Arabidopsis thaliana: one gene and its partners. The protein of the gene in region 1 interacts with the protein of each later gene in a pairwise test. Each region holds a gene or a part of one and is shown on either strand. Other genes may lie near its edges. The genes, in order: HAT22, TPL and LSMT-L.

Region 1 (4,194 bases):
TCAGTTTTTTTCTTTTCTTTTCTTTTGGATAATAAAAAATATAATTATTATATCTGGAGCCAAAACAAATAAATGTATATATGTCATATGACTGATGAGTCAGAAAAAAAACACTAATAAAATGTGAATTTTGAATAAATATATTTTGATGTATTGATATAGATTGGTTTGGCTTACCGTCTCATCTTTTATTTTTTTCATACCTTTACCTTCGTGAAGTTTTAGGATTCTCCATCTATTTAGTTATACTAGTTATAAGTGTTTTATTTATCGGTGGCAAATTATTTCAATCAATTTTATTTCCATTTTTGGGTTTGACGGTTGAAATCAAAACCAAGTTGGCACCAGTGTCTCATTAAGATGAACGATTAGTAAAGAATAATAGAGACTTGGCTAATTAAAGAAACTCTGAAATTATAAAATCGTAGTGGATACTTTACAAATATATACACGAATCCTCCTGTTAAGAATCAATCTAAGAATCTTTAAAATACGGAAGAGTGTTTGGTTGTTTATGTTTGTAAAGTGTGAACTCAAATTAGAACCCATATTTAAATATCATTTAACAGTATAAATCAATATTATACTCACATGAATGAACAATCATTTGTTAAGGATACGTCGTCAGACGTGATATAAACTTGTACAAAATTTATCAAATAATATATTTATTATTTTTACAAGCAAATTTATATTACCGTAATACATATTCGAAGGAAAAAAAAACAAGATAATACATATTCGTCATTTTTTCTCTACATATTTAAACCTGTAATTACAAACTATTTTTTTTTCTTCATCAACCAACAATCCCACCGAAAAATAAAGTGGAATCGTTGAAGAGTCTTATCTATAAAGACTATACCCCATTTCCCCCCAATTTCAACGTAATATTTTTTCCCTGGGATTTATCTTCTAACTAATTCCTAATTTGATTTAAGAAACAAAAAAAAAACCAACAAAAAGAAATTAAATAACTAATAAGTAACTAACATGCTGCAGAAGGATTAGTGAAAGGGTTATAGAAACGAGGCTTTGTGACGATGGAGAAAGCTCCTTTCGCCGTTTCTTCATCAACCGCCGTCGTATCTCCTCCGACACCACCACCGCCGAGTCTCTCACAAGAAGGGCACATAGTCAAAGTCGCCGCCGGCATGTGCATGTAAAACGGTTGAGACAATTTTAAAGCCTTAAGGTCTTGAAGCTCTTTTTGAAGCCTTCTATTCTCATCCGTTAAAGTCTCGCAACATTTCTTCAAAAACTCACAATCCACTTCTGTTTGCTTTAGTTTTGTTCTGTTCAAATTAAAATTTAATTAAAAAATATTTTTATGAACCAAAATAAAGAAAGAAAAGTATGATATTAAAATTCACAAAAGTAATCAATTATATTTACCTAGCTCTCCTGTTTTGGAACCACACTTCAACTTGTCTAGGCCTTAGATTCAGCTGTCTCGCAAGAGCTTGTTTTTGCTTCTGTAAATTCATAGAAAAAATAATTAACGATATGATTAACGTAAATAAGAAGAGACTGATTAGTTTAATTAAGGAAATAATTAACTATATCATACGGGATTAAGGGTGCTATGAAGTTTGAAGTTATCTTCGAGAAGAGCAGATTGTTGTTTAGTGAGTCTAAGCTTTTTACGAGCACTAACACCTTCTTCATCGTCATGATCATCACTCACTCTCGAACACACCACTCTCTCCGTCGTCTCCTCCGCCTCTTCTTCTCCATCGCCGCCGGAGATTTCTCTTTCTCTCTTTACCCTTCCGCTCGAGAAAGATGAGATGCCGCTGTGGGACGAGGTCTGCCGGCAAATTTGGTCGCCGGCGCCGGCACCAGTCTTGATCTTGTAGCTCTCACCGGATAGGCTTAGAGTCAACGACGGATCGAGCCTGATGAAACGATGGTCCACAGTGGAGGAAGATTTCTTGATGGCATGATTGTAATTATTAGGCGTTGGTGAGAGGCCTAAACCAAGAACAAGACCTGTGTTGCATGAATCATCAAGACCCATTTGAATTTTCTCTTCGTATTAATATAATCTTTAAGATCTTGAGAATTAATATTATGAAGAAAATTGTTTGTTAAGAATTTCTTCTGGTGAAGTTTGGAAGATTATGGGACGAAATGAAACCAAGATGGCTTCTTCTTAAGAAGGGGAAGAGAGTTTTTATTTTGTCTTTTTAATTTTTATTTTTAATTTTTGATGGGTGGGTGGGTGGGTGGCTAATAATTAGAATTAATCAAGGAATGTATTTATTTTGCTTACTTTTTTATATGGAATTTTCGAAAAAAAGAATGTGGAAAATTATGATAGCACAATTCTCTCTCCTTTGTATTTTCTTACTTACAAAGGTTGACCAAATGCGCACCCCACTTGCAACTATTATTCCCACTTCATAAATTTTCAGTATGTTTATTCATAGTATACAAATTTATACTCTGAGAATATAATTTTTATGACGTGGTATGAAAATTAAATTAGTTTTAAAAACCCAAAAAAAAAAAAAAAACGGTTCAACGCAATTTTTTTTTGGGTGTAATAGATTTTAGTCTCTCCAAAACTTTCGATTAGACTTTTAAACTCCTATATCCGAATTGATGGTTTGCATTTCCTGATAAACTTACTTCTATCTTTTACCATTTATACATTGCTTTACATGTTTGTTTCAATTTGTTAATCGGGATATATATCCACAAATTCAATTCAAGTCAACAATACAATTACTAGCACATGACGAAACGATTCTATATCCTCCCATGCCCACATTCAAAGATCCAATGTTCTGTGATTGATATTTTAAAATATTTACTCGAGTACAGATATTCTTGTAATATACCACTGAAGCGTTAAATATAACTAACAGAACTGAAGACTTCCTTAAAATAAATTAGATTATAATCAAATGATACATTTAACTTATCTAAGTAGGAGTATCATAATAAGTTGTCAATAGAGAGTAATTAAGAGGCAACTTTAATTAAATAAGAGACCACATGAATTGTCTCCCACTCCATGCTTTGCTTGAAGAAGGTAGATATGGGTAACATGTCAGCTTGCCTACCAATCTTCAACTTCCTCACACTACACATTGGGTTTTTAATTAATTTCTTCTAATTTCTTTTTATATTCCCCTTTCTTGTATTATTATTTAGGGTTTCGGATTGTGATCTCCACTTTCTTGTTTTAGGTTCGGTTCTCTTGATCTGGCCAGATTGTGTTGGGACTTATTTATCCAATGATTTCTATCTATTTATTTCCACCGCATTCTAGTTTTGATAATACTATGCTTTTATTGATTACTAGTAGCATATATGTAGAAAATGCATAAATATCATTACTCGAATTTAAACAATTCATTACAGGACGTAACAAATTATCGTTACATTTTCTGTTTTTATCGTCTCTGCTCTTACAGTACAAAGTGTCTTTTTATAGAATTAGCTAGAAAAATATTGGAACTTTTTTTACTAACAGCACCTCGTTTAGATAAATATTTAATTAATTGAAACAGTAAAATGGCGGAATAGTTCAACATTAAGTTTCATTATTCTGTATCAAATATTGTGAATGGCCTGAATTAGAAACGGGTGGGAGAAGAAGATTGGTAATCATGGTGGTGGTGGAATGTGATTCGTCAAACAGAAATAATATTGTTGAGGGACTTAACTTGAAAGTCGACGTGGGACGTTTTATTGGTTTTAGCCATACATATTTTGTTTTTTTTGGCACTTTCTATTTTCCAACCAAGTTAGGTTACCCATATTGTACAAATTAATATATAAGCGTGGCCTCGAAGGAGAAGTGGAGAAAGTACTCACAATCCGATTAAAATACTAGCTTATTTGGATTACTTTGGTTTGCAATTTTTTTTTCTTCTGATTTGTTTTAAATTAGGTTTTTTATTTATTTATTTAAGAAACAATTGCAAACCAAAAAAAAAAAATGTGAACTACATGCATATGTAAAGCATTTTATTTATATAATCAATTAGAACATCATGATTTTTATAAAATATGGTAGTGTGAAAATCAAAAGTTTAACGTGTACATTGTTAGCCATTTTGGTCACTTGTAACAGCTAGAATAGTCGGGGCGTCAGAAGTTACAAATGAAGTTATTTAAATTCGCCTTTTGATCATTTTGCTGGTGTCTTTTGACTAAAAAGATTGCAATCGCCATTACCAA
Region 2 (7,843 bases), on another chromosome or scaffold:
TTCTAACTTAATCATTAGACTACAATCAATTTGTTTAGAATATATTTGTGTTGCGCTCATAACGATTCTTTTCAATATATATTGTTTGATTAAAGCTTTTAACAAAGTACAGTTTGCTTTCTAAATTATTTTTAACACGTATCCAGTTTTTTAAAAATATATAAAAATATATTCTTCACACCTATCATTTTTTATAAATAAAATATTTTTAACATTTAAAGATATATAAGATATTTCTAATAGTATAATTTATTTTTAATACTTATCATGTTTCTTAAATGGTTTGAACGCTTCGTTTCATTAGTTTATCCAACCTACCTCAGTTATGATATTACACTTTAGTAAAATAAAAAAAAACTGGTTATAAACTTAAAATATTATGCTTTGCTCGTATTAAAGAATTTCAGTACTTGTATATCGTTTTTTTAATTATTATTATGATTTATGACCTCGCGATTCGTGATGGTTAGTAGTAGACTAGTCGTAGTGGACAACTACTGTAAGAAAAAAAACTAAAAATAGATAGACACACACGCTAAATTAAATAAATCGTAAATCACGATTACATATTTATGTTTGTACTTGAAAATGTTATCGCTTTACGTGTGGTGATGGTGAGACAACAGTGTTTGTGTTTGGACGGGATAGATGTCAAATTACTCAAACGTGCGACTCTAAATTACACAAACTCTCATTTATTGCCCATCCTCCATCGATATCTTCACCCCTCTAATATATTTTAAAAATGTTATTTATAACTTCAACAATACACATTCGGTTTCATTTACAATTAATCCTTGCGTTATTATTACTTCTAAGCTATAGTATCTTGTACTTCCTTCCCCTGCTATTATTTAAACGGAAAGAATCCAGCTAATTCCGATCCACCTGCTCCTAGTAGCAATCTATCTATAAACAAACAAAACTAAAGTATAAATTATCACGAACATCTTAACAATAATAGTCAATGCAAGTGGTTCTTGTGTATACAAAGAATTAATAGGAACTACTATCCACATCCTTACGTTTACATTTTTCACAACCAATCATGCACTAAATTAACCTCTAATGAAAAAGTTAAAAATAAAGAATAATATTATCAAAGAATAATGATAATGTTCAGCAACATGTTGGACCAAGAAATGTTCAAACAATACTATAATATTGAAATATTTAGTAGTATTAGTTTTGTTCTTGTTTTTTTTATATGAGGAACATCAGCCATATCGTATAAATCGTGATAAACCGAGTTTATAAATCATATTTCGTATCTCGCCGAGAAGAAAGACGACGTAGCATCTTTACGAGTTGAACATTTCTCCATCACGTGATGTTCGATGAGTTAACGCATCTCAAGAGCAATTGGCTCTTCAATGTCATATCCGTAAATATTAGTCAAACTTGAGGGCAATGACTCAATATAAAAAGCTTTGTCGTGCCACGAGGGATCTGGAGACAAGTCTGACACATTGAATGAAACTCTAGCCGTTAGATCTCCGTCCTCCGCGCCATCTGACAAAATCGACGGTTTTCCAGATAGGTGTAAAACTCATCGCGAAGGAGTGGATCACACCTCTGTGGAGTACAGCTGGCAACTAATATTCCGAGCCGATAACGTCGAGAAATGTAGCCGATCAAGTCGTAGTTATAAGCAGTTCTACTTATCATTCCTGCTTATCGCAGTTAGCTTTTCTTAGAGTGATAGCTAACTTATTTTATCAGCATCCAATTATCTGTCACCTTCTCTTATTAAAATCTCCATTTCTGCAAGTTTTAATGTCCGTATATATATCTCGAAGAGAGAGAAAATCCCTTTTTCTCTAGATAGAGAGAGAGAGAGAGAGAGAGAAGAAGAAGCTTTTTAATTTAGTTTTGCTTTCTTTCAAGTTTCCTTTTTTCGATAGAGAGAAAAAGAGTCCAAAAATCAATCCATCACCTCTTTCGTCTCTGTGGTCTTCTTCTTCTTCTTCATCGATCTCTCTCTCTTTATGGTGAGTAAGCTTCACGCTTCTTTCTTCTACCTTTGTTGCCTCTGTTAATGGAATCTAGCTGTTTCGAGTTTTATTGTATATATTTTTTTATCCTTTTGCCCAAACTTTTTTCTGGGTTTTGCTTTATTTTTTCATCCCCCTTTCTGATAATTAATTTGCTTTTTTCATGTAGTAAAAAAAGATTCTTTTTTTAAGCTATTAAATTCACATCTTCCAATTCCAGGAAGACCTAAATTTCCTCTTTTTTTTGCCGTTATCTGCAGAGATGCGAAGTTTCTGGATAATTATTCAGATATAGGTTCCAAGTTTTTAGCTTTCATTTCTAACTTCTCTTTTCGTGTTTTTTAATTTCCATAATCTGGAAACTCAGATTTGAGCTCATTTCGGCCATTGTTTATATTGCAGATCTGGTGATAGTTTGGTTAGTTGTTGTGCATCTGAGTTAGAAAAAAGTCTTTTAAGGAAGTGAGAGAAAACATGTCTTCTCTTAGTAGAGAGCTCGTTTTCTTGATCTTACAGTTTCTCGATGAAGAGAAGTTTAAAGAGACTGTTCACAAGTATGTCTCTTTTGCTCTGTAGATTTCCTTGGATCTAATTTACCAACTGACCTGTTTAGCTCTTGTGTTGGTTAATGCATTATTGCTTTGTCATGTTCAGGCTTGAACAAGAATCTGGGTTTTTCTTCAATATGAAGTATTTTGAGGATGAGGTTCACAATGGAAATTGGGATGAGGTTGAGAAGTATCTCTCTGGTTTCACTAAAGTAGATGATAATAGATACTCTATGAAGATATTCTTCGAGATAAGAAAGCAGAAGTATCTCGAGGCTTTGGATAAGTAAGTCATGGTTGGGGATTTGTTTTTTTTTTTTCCTTTCAGTGAGATAGCAAAAGAAAAAGAGTCTGATTTGTGATTGACCTTGGTGACTTTTTTGTTGGTAGGCATGATCGTCCCAAGGCTGTGGATATACTAGTGAAGGATTTGAAAGTGTTTTCAACTTTTAATGAGGAGCTTTTCAAGGAAATAACACAGCTCTTGACATTGGAGAACTTCCGGTAATGTTATATTGGATTAATGTAGTGTCCAAAGCCTTTGTTTTCTTAGCCGTAGTTCAAAAGAAAGATTGATGCAGAGTATTAAGTGTTTCGAGTTTGATCAACTTTTAGGGAGAATGAACAGTTATCCAAGTATGGGGACACCAAGTCTGCAAGAGCGATCATGTTGGTGGAACTCAAAAAGCTGATTGAGGCGAATCCTTTATTCCGTGATAAATTGCAGTTCCCTACTCTTAGAAATTCAAGGCTGAGGACTTTGATCAACCAGAGGTTTATTGCTTTGTCCCTTAATCTTTTTGTCTTATTCACTTCAAGTTGTTGTTGGCATATTAATTCATTCTATCTTTTGTTACTGCATAACTCGCAGCTTAAATTGGCAACACCAGCTTTGTAAAAATCCAAGGCCAAATCCAGATATCAAGACTCTTTTTGTGGATCACTCTTGTGGCCCTCCAAATGGCGCACGAGCTCCATCTCCTGTGAACAATCCACTGCTTGGAGGGATACCAAAGGCTGGAGGATTTCCTCCTTTAGGCGCACACGGGGTAATTTAGTTTCTATCATTTTTATTTATGTTTTCCTGAGGCCAAGTGTTTGATTGTCTCTATGTTTCCAGCCATTTCAACCAACGGCGTCACCTGTTCCAACACCTCTTGCTGGTTGGATGTCTAGTCCATCCTCTGTCCCACATCCAGCTGTCTCAGCAGGAGCCATTGCACTTGGTGGTCCATCAATCCCAGGTACTACTTGCTTATCAAATGTGTATGTTTCTTCAGACACACTTTGTGTGATCTATGCAATTTGCTTACAATGGAACTCCTTTCCTATCTTTGGTATAGCGGCGTTGAAGCACCCGAGAACTCCTCCAACTAATGCTTCTTTAGACTACCCGTCAGCAGATTCTGAACATGTCTCAAAAAGAACAAGACCAATGGGAATCTCTGACGAGGTGAATCTAGGCGTGAACATGTTACCGATGTCATTTTCAGGGCAGGCCCATGGTCATTCTCCGGCTTTCAAAGCACCTGACGACTTGCCCAAGACAGTTGCGAGAACTTTGAGTCAGGGCTCATCTCCCATGAGCATGGATTTCCATCCAATTAAACAGACCCTGCTTCTAGGTGTGTTTCTTGCTCTCTGTATGTGCTTCTGTGTAATAATAATAATAATAATCATCAGCAATTTTCTAAATTCGTTTGAATTGTTGTACCAGTTGGTACAAATGTAGGTGATATCGGGCTGTGGGAAGTTGGTTCTCGCGAAAGATTAGTACAGAAGACGTTCAAAGTCTGGGATTTGAGTAAATGTTCAATGCCCTTGCAGGTGCCTATGCATAGCAACAACAAAATGTTAACTTTTATATATGTTATGAATCTACAGTGACTGAATTAGTTGTATCTTCAGGCTGCTCTGGTGAAAGAACCTGTCGTTTCTGTCAACCGTGTGATATGGAGCCCTGACGGTTCCTTGTTTGGTAAAGAACTCGCCTTTAAATTTATATCTGCACATGAATGCAACTTTATAAGTCACCAAACGTTCTGAATTGCAGGAGTTGCTTACTCGAGACATATTGTACAACTATACTCTTATCACGGAGGTGAAGACATGAGGCAACACCTTGAGGTCTCGTACCATTCACAAGCCTCTCTCTTTAACAATCGTTTTTTCCCTTGGGGATTTTCTTGTAATATTGTGATTATTTCAGATTGATGCTCATGTTGGTGGTGTGAATGATATTTCCTTCTCGACTCCAAACAAGCAACTATGTGTAATAACTTGTGGTGATGACAAAACCATCAAGGTTTGGGACGCTGCAACAGGTGTCAAAAGGCATACTTTTGAAGGCCATGAAGCTCCTGTTTATTCCGTTTGTCCTCATTACAAGGAAAACATTCAGGTAAGCTTAGCTAACCGTTGATCTCCCTCCCTTCTATTAAATGTTTCAGTTTTTTGATGTGTTGTATTTTTCCTGTCATCAAGTTCATATTTTCAACAGCTCTTGATGGGAAAATTAAGGCTTGGTTGTATGATAATATGGGTTCCCGAGTTGACTATGATGCACCTGGTCGCTGGTGTACTACAATGGCTTATAGTGCCGATGGTACTAGGCTATTCTCTTGTGGGACGAGTAAAGATGGAGAGTCTTTCATTGTTGAGTGGAATGAAAGCGAAGGAGCTGTTAAAAGAACTTATCAAGGATTCCACAAGCGTTCTCTAGGTGTTGTGCAGTTTGATACAACTAAAAACCGTTATCTAGCTGCGGGTGATGATTTCTCCATCAAGTTCTGGGATATGGACGCTGTACAGCTTTTAACTGCCATTGATGGCGATGGAGGCCTCCAGGTACATGAACAAAAAATGCCTAACTAGAAAAGTTTTCAGATATTCTTTTGGAGTTTCTTCTTAACTTGCGCTTCTAATATATTTAAACTAGGCAAGCCCGCGTATCCGGTTCAACAAGGAAGGCTCTCTCCTGGCCGTGTCTGGCAACGAGAATGTGATCAAGATTATGGCAAACTCAGATGGTCTAAGGCTATTGCACACTTTTGAGAACATATCATCTGAATCCTCCAAGGTACTTAAAATCTAAGCTAAGCTTTAAATTACTTACACCCAATTGAAAGATTTAGTCAACACTTCATTCTACATTTGCAGCCTGCAATAAACAGCATAGCAGCGGCAGCGGCAGCTGCTGCAACAAGTGCTGGTCACGCAGATCGATCAGCCAATGTAGTTTCCATCCAAGGAATGGTAAGAAATACAATTCTTTTTTGTTCTTTCACTCACTTTATTTTATCTTTCTATTATTCATCACTTGCCTTTTTAGAATGGAGATTCGCGGAATATGGTGGATGTGAAGCCAGTGATCACAGAAGAATCAAATGATAAGTCTAAGATATGGAAGCTTACTGAAGTCAGCGAGCCTTCTCAATGCAGGTCACTGAGACTCCCTGAGAATCTGAGAGTAGCCAAGGTATATAAAATATACATTTTCTGAGCCATGTATAGGGTATATATATATAGCTGTTCTTTTTTCTGACAATAAAACCAATGACTTTTGGCAGATATCAAGATTGATTTTCACGAATTCGGGAAATGCTATTTTGGCTCTGGCATCAAACGCAATTCATCTTCTATGGAAATGGCAGCGGAATGAGCGCAACGCAACTGGAAAGGTGAAATTGAGACTCTTTCTTAGTCAAATAATGATAAGTGTCACTGATCTCTACATCTCGATTTTCCGTGTAGGCGACAGCTTCTTTACCGCCTCAGCAGTGGCAACCAGCTAGTGGGATCCTCATGACTAACGATGTTGCTGAAACCAATCCCGAGGAAGCTGTACCTTGTTTTGCTTTATCCAAGAATGATTCATATGTAATGTCAGCCTCCGGAGGAAAGATATCCTTATTTAACATGATGACGTTTAAGGTAATGGGGACACATAGATGCTGATCTTTTGATGTTCTGTGTATGCAATTTGACTGACTGTTCTTGGCTAATAATTTGCAGACAATGGCGACTTTCATGCCCCCACCACCGGCTGCTACTTTTCTTGCTTTTCATCCTCAAGACAACAATATCATCGCTATTGGGATGGATGATAGCACGATTCAGATTTATAATGTCCGTGTTGATGAGGTAATGCATCAAAACTCAAGAGAAGAATGTAGAAAAGAAGATGAAGTGTTTTGTTTGTTAATATGATGGCCATCATGTTCCTTGTTTGCTCCTGCAGGTGAAGAGTAAGCTTAAAGGTCATTCAAAGAGAATAACTGGTCTTGCCTTCTCCAACGTATTAAACGTGTTGGTTTCGTCTGGAGCAGATGCACAGGTTCCCGCCTTAGACCATTTTTTTTTTTTTTTTTGAGAATCGATGAAGAAAAGATCAATAGTCTTTGAAATGTTTTTGTTTCAGCTTTGTGTTTGGAACACAGATGGATGGGAAAAGCAGAGAAGCAAGGTTTTGCCACTTCCACAGGGAAGACCAAACAGTGCACCTTCAGATACGCGTGTTCAGTTCCATCAAGATCAAGCTCACTTCCTCGTTGTGCACGAGACGCAACTTGCTATATACGAAACTACCAAGCTCGAATGCATGAAACAGGTATTTTATATTTATAGGCCGCTCTCTCTAAGATCTGCAATTTATTGCATTTGAAAGATGATTAATGATTGCAATGTTTCAGTGGGCTGTTCGAGAATCATTAGCTCCAATCACTCATGCCACATTCTCATGCGATAGCCAATTGGTCTACGCGAGTTTTATGGATGCAACAGTTTGTGTATTTAGCTCTGCAAATCTACGGCTGCGTTGCCGGGTCAACCCTTCTGCGTATCTACCAGCTAGTCTCAGGTAAACAGAGGAATCTTGAAATTTACCCAAAAAAACAGAGGAATCTTTAAATTTCGGAAAGAACGTTTCTAAACATCAATCGGTTAGTTGTTTATATATCATAAAGCTCCTCTTGTTGACTTGTGCAGCAATTCAAACGTACATCCACTAGTGATTGCTGCACATCCGCAAGAACCAAACATGTTTGCAGTTGGTCTCTCAGACGGGGGAGTGCACATATTCGAACCGCTCGAGTCTGAAGGTAAATGGGGAGTCGCTCCACCGGCTGAGAACGGGTCGGCTAGCGGTGCACCAACTGCACCTTCCGTTGGAGCCTCTGCATCTGATCAGCCTCAGAGATGATCTGATCCGAGAGCCACCTACCTCTCTGATTCCCTTTCTTCTATTTAAAAGTCTTTTCTTTCTTATTTTTTTGGTAGAAAAATTTATGACCCAGAGATTCT
Region 3 (4,528 bases), on another chromosome or scaffold:
TAACATCATCTACATTTGTTATCCTATAAAGGCTACGGTTTAATTTCTGAATACTAAGATTCTATAAAAATATATTTTTTAAAGAGTCATGGAGACAATAGTGAGTAGTTGACAAGGAATCTGAGTCTCTCCTTATTAAATGTTAGGCATATACTGTTTGTATATAAAAGTTAATTAGCCATCCATTTTGACCTTCTCGAACTAAAGGAAGCCTTTTCACCTAGCCATAGAATATACATATACAATACCATTTGTAGTTAAATTTAATAACTATCCTATTTATATGAGTTTTTAAAAAAAAAAAAAAAAGAGTAAAGGTAAGATATCTGTTTGGCAACGAACTAAGAAAATATATTTTAGAGGGATGAATTTTGTTGACCAACCTGAATTGTGTCAATCCGACCACCACATCATGTCGTCATCCCGATATTGACCGCGTTTTGTGGTTTTCGTGAGAAGTGTTTTCTCAGTCTCTGATTTAAAATTGCGATTAGTGAGTTGTTTTTCAGGTTTACCACACGAGTTTCGGCGCGACAAGCGGTTCCGTTAGAAGAGTTTATGTTCTTGACATTTGATATTTTGTATGACAAATTAGTACTTATTACATTTTGACAAAGAAAAATACACTCTATTGAAACAGTCTAATTGCATATTAACAACTAAAACAGTCTTGTTGCCAATTTTGGAATTTTGAACAATTTTTGAAAGTAATGAAAAGTCATTCACGTGTCTCCCATCTCAAACTTAACACGTTATATTAGCAAAAGTAAACTGATCTTAATCAATATCGACGTTGTACCTTAATTTCATGGACCAAGTTATTGTCTAAAACTTAAAATAGCGGCCATTTCGACGGAAAAAAGTAGCAATAAACTTTGGTTTTCTCGTTAATAATTAAAGTTATATCAGAAACATATTTGGAATTGATCATAATCTTAATTAAGCCGAGAGAGTGTAATAGGTTTTGTTTTGTTTTTTGATAAGAGTGTAATAGGGTTTCTGATAGGTATCACATTACACATGTACCTTACTGGTCTCATATCCCGTGGTCAAGCCGGCAAAACAAGAGAAAGGAAAGTTCCGCTTTTACATGTGATTACTACGTACGTACCATTACCTATATTACAAAGTAAATTACTTGTCTTCTACGTTGATGGAGAATAGTGGATCATTGTACCCCCTAAATTACAAATTTAAGACTAATTTCTATTTGATTAAGAATAGTGAATAAGACTTGTATATTTGATTCTTCAATTACAATAAGTATTTTAGCACACAATTAAATATGAACTACTTAAACACATAATTAAATCAAAAACATTTGAATTAGACCACTTGATATTATGATGATGATGATGATTATGAAGGTATGTGTGATATGGTGGGTACATACTACATATATGTCTCGGCCAATCTCTTTTGTTGTTGTTGTTGTTGTTGTTGTTGTTGTTGTTGTTGTTGTTGTTGTTGTTGTAACATGTTGCATTATCTTGGAGGAATTTAGAATGAATATTGGGATCTCCATGAGATGTTACCTATTTAAAACTCAAGTGTCAAGTCAGTAGATTTGAGGTTGAAGCTATAGTTGACCATTTTTCTTCTTACAAAGGTTGAGATGACAAAAAAAAAAAAGAAAAAGAAGTTGAAGCTACCATAAGTTAAAAAGATAATTTTTTAAAAATGAAAATAAATACAGACAATTAACAATTTAATTACATCAGAACAAAAATAAAATGTAGGCCTTGGCCTTTTAGAATAATGGGCCTTTAACATTGGTAACTAGAATAACTAGATTTTTGTCTCATCAACAACTTAGAAAAAACTGATGTGATATTATTGTTATCCACACACTCTCTGTTTCACTGATACTACCCGCCATCGGAAAACCACCATGTCAGCCTCCGTCGCCGTCGTGTCGGGTTTTCTCCGTATCCCGTCAATTCAAAAGTCTCAAAACCCTTCCTTTCTCTTTTCTCGACCCAAGAAATCTTTGGTGAGACCCATTTCAGCTTCAAGCTCAGAGTTGCCGGAAAATGTTCGGAATTTCTGGAAATGGCTCAGAGACCAAGGAGTCGTATCCGGGAAGTCTGTGGCAGAACCTGCGGTGGTACCGGAAGGTTTGGGACTTGTAGCCAGGCGTGATATTGGAAGAAACGAGGTCGTATTGGAGATTCCCAAGCGATTGTGGATAAACCCAGAGACAGTGACTGCTTCCAAGATTGGACCTTTATGCGGCGGATTAAAGCCGTGGGTTTCAGTAGCTCTGTTTTTGATCAGAGAGAAGTATGAAGAAGAGTCTTCATGGAGAGTTTATCTTGATATGCTTCCTCAATCTACTGATTCTACTGTCTTCTGGTGGGTTTTGTCCTTCTCTGATCATCAATTGTATCTCTGATCAACACTAAGCTGATGAGATGTCTTCTTCGTGAAATGTCTCCAGTACAGGTCAGAAGAGGAGCTTGCTGAGCTTAAAGGTCCATTTTCTTACCCTTTTCTTTGAAAAGTCTGATCATTGTTTAGATTCATACCAATTGGTCTGAGTAGCAGTAGCTGATGATGATGTACATTATTAACTTTGTGGTTACTGTTGTTTGGCTCAGGGACTCAACTGTTGAGCACCACATTGGGTGTGAAAGAGTATGTGGAGAATGAATTCTTGAAACTGGAACAAGAGATATTACTGCCTAACAAAGATCTCTTCTCATCCCGCATAACACTTGATGACTTCATATGGGCGTTTGGGATCCTCAAGTCGAGGGCTTTTTCTCGTCTCCGTGGCCAAAACCTTGTCTTGATCCCTCTTGCAGACTTGGCAAGCTATCTTCTTGTTTCAGATATTGTCTAGTGAAAACTTCAGAAAATAATCTTCATTCATTGATGCTTGGCTCAGCAGAGAATCTCTGACTTCAATGTTTGAATTTGAACAGATAAACCATAACCCCGCGATAAAGACAGAAGATTATGCATACGAGATCAAAGGAGCCGGCCTTTTCTCTAGAGATCTCTTATTTTCCTTGAAGTCACCTGTTTATGTTAAAGCAGGTGAGCAGGTATGCTCCAAACACTGTCTACTTAGTTTTCTCCCTCAAGAGTGTAAGAACAAGCCCTTTAATACTGTTTGGATGATCTCTTCCATAGGTATACATTCAGTACGATCTGAACAAAAGCAATGCAGAACTTGCTCTCGACTATGGTTTTGTGGAATCAAACCCTAAACGGAACTCATATACTTTAACAATAGAGATACCAGAATCAGACCCATTCTTTGGGGATAAGTTGGATATTGCTGAGAGTAACAAGATGGGTGAGACCGGATACTTTGACATAGTAGACGGCCAGACTCTTCCCGCTGGTATGCTTCAGTACCTTCGGCTTGTGGCTCTTGGCGGTCCAGATGCTTTCTTATTAGAATCTATCTTCAATAACACCATATGGGGTCATCTTGAATTGCCTGTAAGTCGTACAAACGAGGAACTCATATGCCGTGTTGTCAGAGATGCCTGCAAATCTGCTCTGTCTGGTTTTGATACGACCATTGAAGAGGTATATATGTTCGAGCTCTTACTTGTACTGTCTTTGCAGCTTAACACTCATTTCTTACTCGTCTTCATCGTCTGTTGTAGGATGAGAAGCTTCTGGACAAAGGAAAGCTTGAGCCTAGGTTGGAAATGGCTCTCAAGATAAGGATTGGTGAGAAGAGAGTGCTTCAGCAAATCGACCAAATCTTCAAGGATAGAGAGCTTGAACTTGACATTTTAGAGTATTACCAAGAGAGAAGGCTCAAAGATCTTGGGTTGGTTGGCGAACAAGGGGATATTATCTTCTGGGAAACCAAGTGAGAATTAGCTTAGCTTGTATAGCTTATCCTGCAGAACAAACTCAAGGCTAGAAAGAAAATCTTTACTGGTTTGGTCTCAGACCACATAGACTTGAATCAACCTCAAGACATCAGAGTTGAGAGACCACAATTTGTATGTTAGGCTATTGCCAAAAGCAGGCTTTTTGAAATTCTATAAGATGAGACATAATCTTCTTTTTAGTTACATCTTAATTTACGTAAAACTAAATAAATCAAGATCAGCAACTATGCAGGAAAATTGAAAAAAATTACAAACAAAAATGGAAAAACTCAGGGAAGGAACTATGCAGCTCCCGTTCAAGTGTTTGACATGCCGTCCTCTTGCGGAAGCAATGAGATATAATATGCTAAAAACATGACTTCAATGTGTTAAATTTCTATGGCCAAACAGGTCGTGGCAATTTGTACCTTCACAAAGACATTCTTGAGGATTTGCGTAGAAGTAATCTTCCTCCTTAGGTTTGTCAGAGATTACTCTTCGATGAGTAGGTGCTCCTGCTCGTCTCTCATGGGCTTCCTTGACTGCTACTGCAAACTGATCCCACGTGAGGGTCTTGTTGTGATGTAAGTCTAGTAGCTCCACGAGTCTCTTACGGTCAAGCAGGATTGTCTTCTTATATCCAAGGTATCTGCAAATTCAAATCAGATATAGACCAATAATGGTTATAT

What was found.
Region 2: the proteins of HAT22 (region 1) and TPL interact in a two-hybrid assay, tested with the Arabidopsis thaliana proteins (one study listed by BioGRID).
Region 3: the proteins of HAT22 (region 1) and LSMT-L interact in binary tests that used the Arabidopsis thaliana proteins (3 or more experiments, as listed by UniProt).

What each region holds. Positions count from the first base shown.
Region 1 is NC_003075.7:17,766,067-17,770,260, reverse strand, and holds HAT22 (Homeobox-leucine zipper protein family), read right to left. Parts: upstream 2,220-4,194; 5' UTR 2,021-2,219; coding exon 1,571-2,020; intron 1,476-1,570; coding exon 1,396-1,475; intron 1,296-1,395; coding exon 989-1,295; 3' UTR 585-988; downstream 1-584.
Region 2 is NC_003070.9:5,414,985-5,422,827, reverse strand, and holds the start of TPL (Transducin family protein / WD-40 repeat family protein), read left to right. Parts: upstream 1-1,794; 5' UTR 1,795-1,991; exon of another isoform or gene 1,992-2,254; 5' UTR 2,255-2,289; exon of another isoform or gene 2,290-2,396; 5' UTR 2,397-2,468; coding exon 2,469-2,548; intron 2,549-2,648; coding exon 2,649-2,828; intron 2,829-2,932; coding exon 2,933-3,046; intron 3,047-3,157; coding exon 3,158-3,316; intron 3,317-3,413; coding exon 3,414-3,591; intron 3,592-3,662; coding exon 3,663-3,786; intron 3,787-3,885; coding exon 3,886-4,167; intron 4,168-4,259; coding exon 4,260-4,369; intron 4,370-4,450; coding exon 4,451-4,520; intron 4,521-4,595; coding exon 4,596-4,669; intron 4,670-4,751; coding exon 4,752-4,943; intron 4,944-5,026; coding exon 5,027-5,389; intron 5,390-5,480; coding exon 5,481-5,621; intron 5,622-5,701; coding exon 5,702-5,797; intron 5,798-5,873; coding exon 5,874-6,020; intron 6,021-6,111; coding exon 6,112-6,222; intron 6,223-6,295; coding exon 6,296-6,475; intron 6,476-6,556; and 10 more. UniProt on the Arabidopsis thaliana protein: Transcriptional corepressor. May repress the expression of root-promoting genes in the top half of the embryo to allow proper differentiation of the shoot pole during the transition stage of embryogenesis. Regulates the expression of PLT1 and PLT2.
Region 3 is NC_003070.9:4,804,804-4,809,331, reverse strand, and holds LSMT-L (Rubisco methyltransferase family protein), read left to right. Parts: upstream 1-1,814; 5' UTR 1,815-1,891; coding exon 1,892-2,355; intron 2,356-2,445; coding exon 2,446-2,474; intron 2,475-2,600; coding exon 2,601-2,812; intron 2,813-2,927; coding exon 2,928-3,050; intron 3,051-3,138; coding exon 3,139-3,543; exon of another isoform or gene 3,544-3,623; coding exon 3,624-3,839; 3' UTR 3,840-4,026; downstream 4,027-4,528. Other genes in the region: AT1G14020 (O-fucosyltransferase family protein), read right to left, coding at 4,221-4,488. UniProt on the Arabidopsis thaliana protein: Protein-lysine methyltransferase methylating chloroplastic fructose 1,6-bisphosphate aldolases. Can also use with low efficiency gamma-tocopherol methyltransferase as substrate, but not a cytosolic aldolase.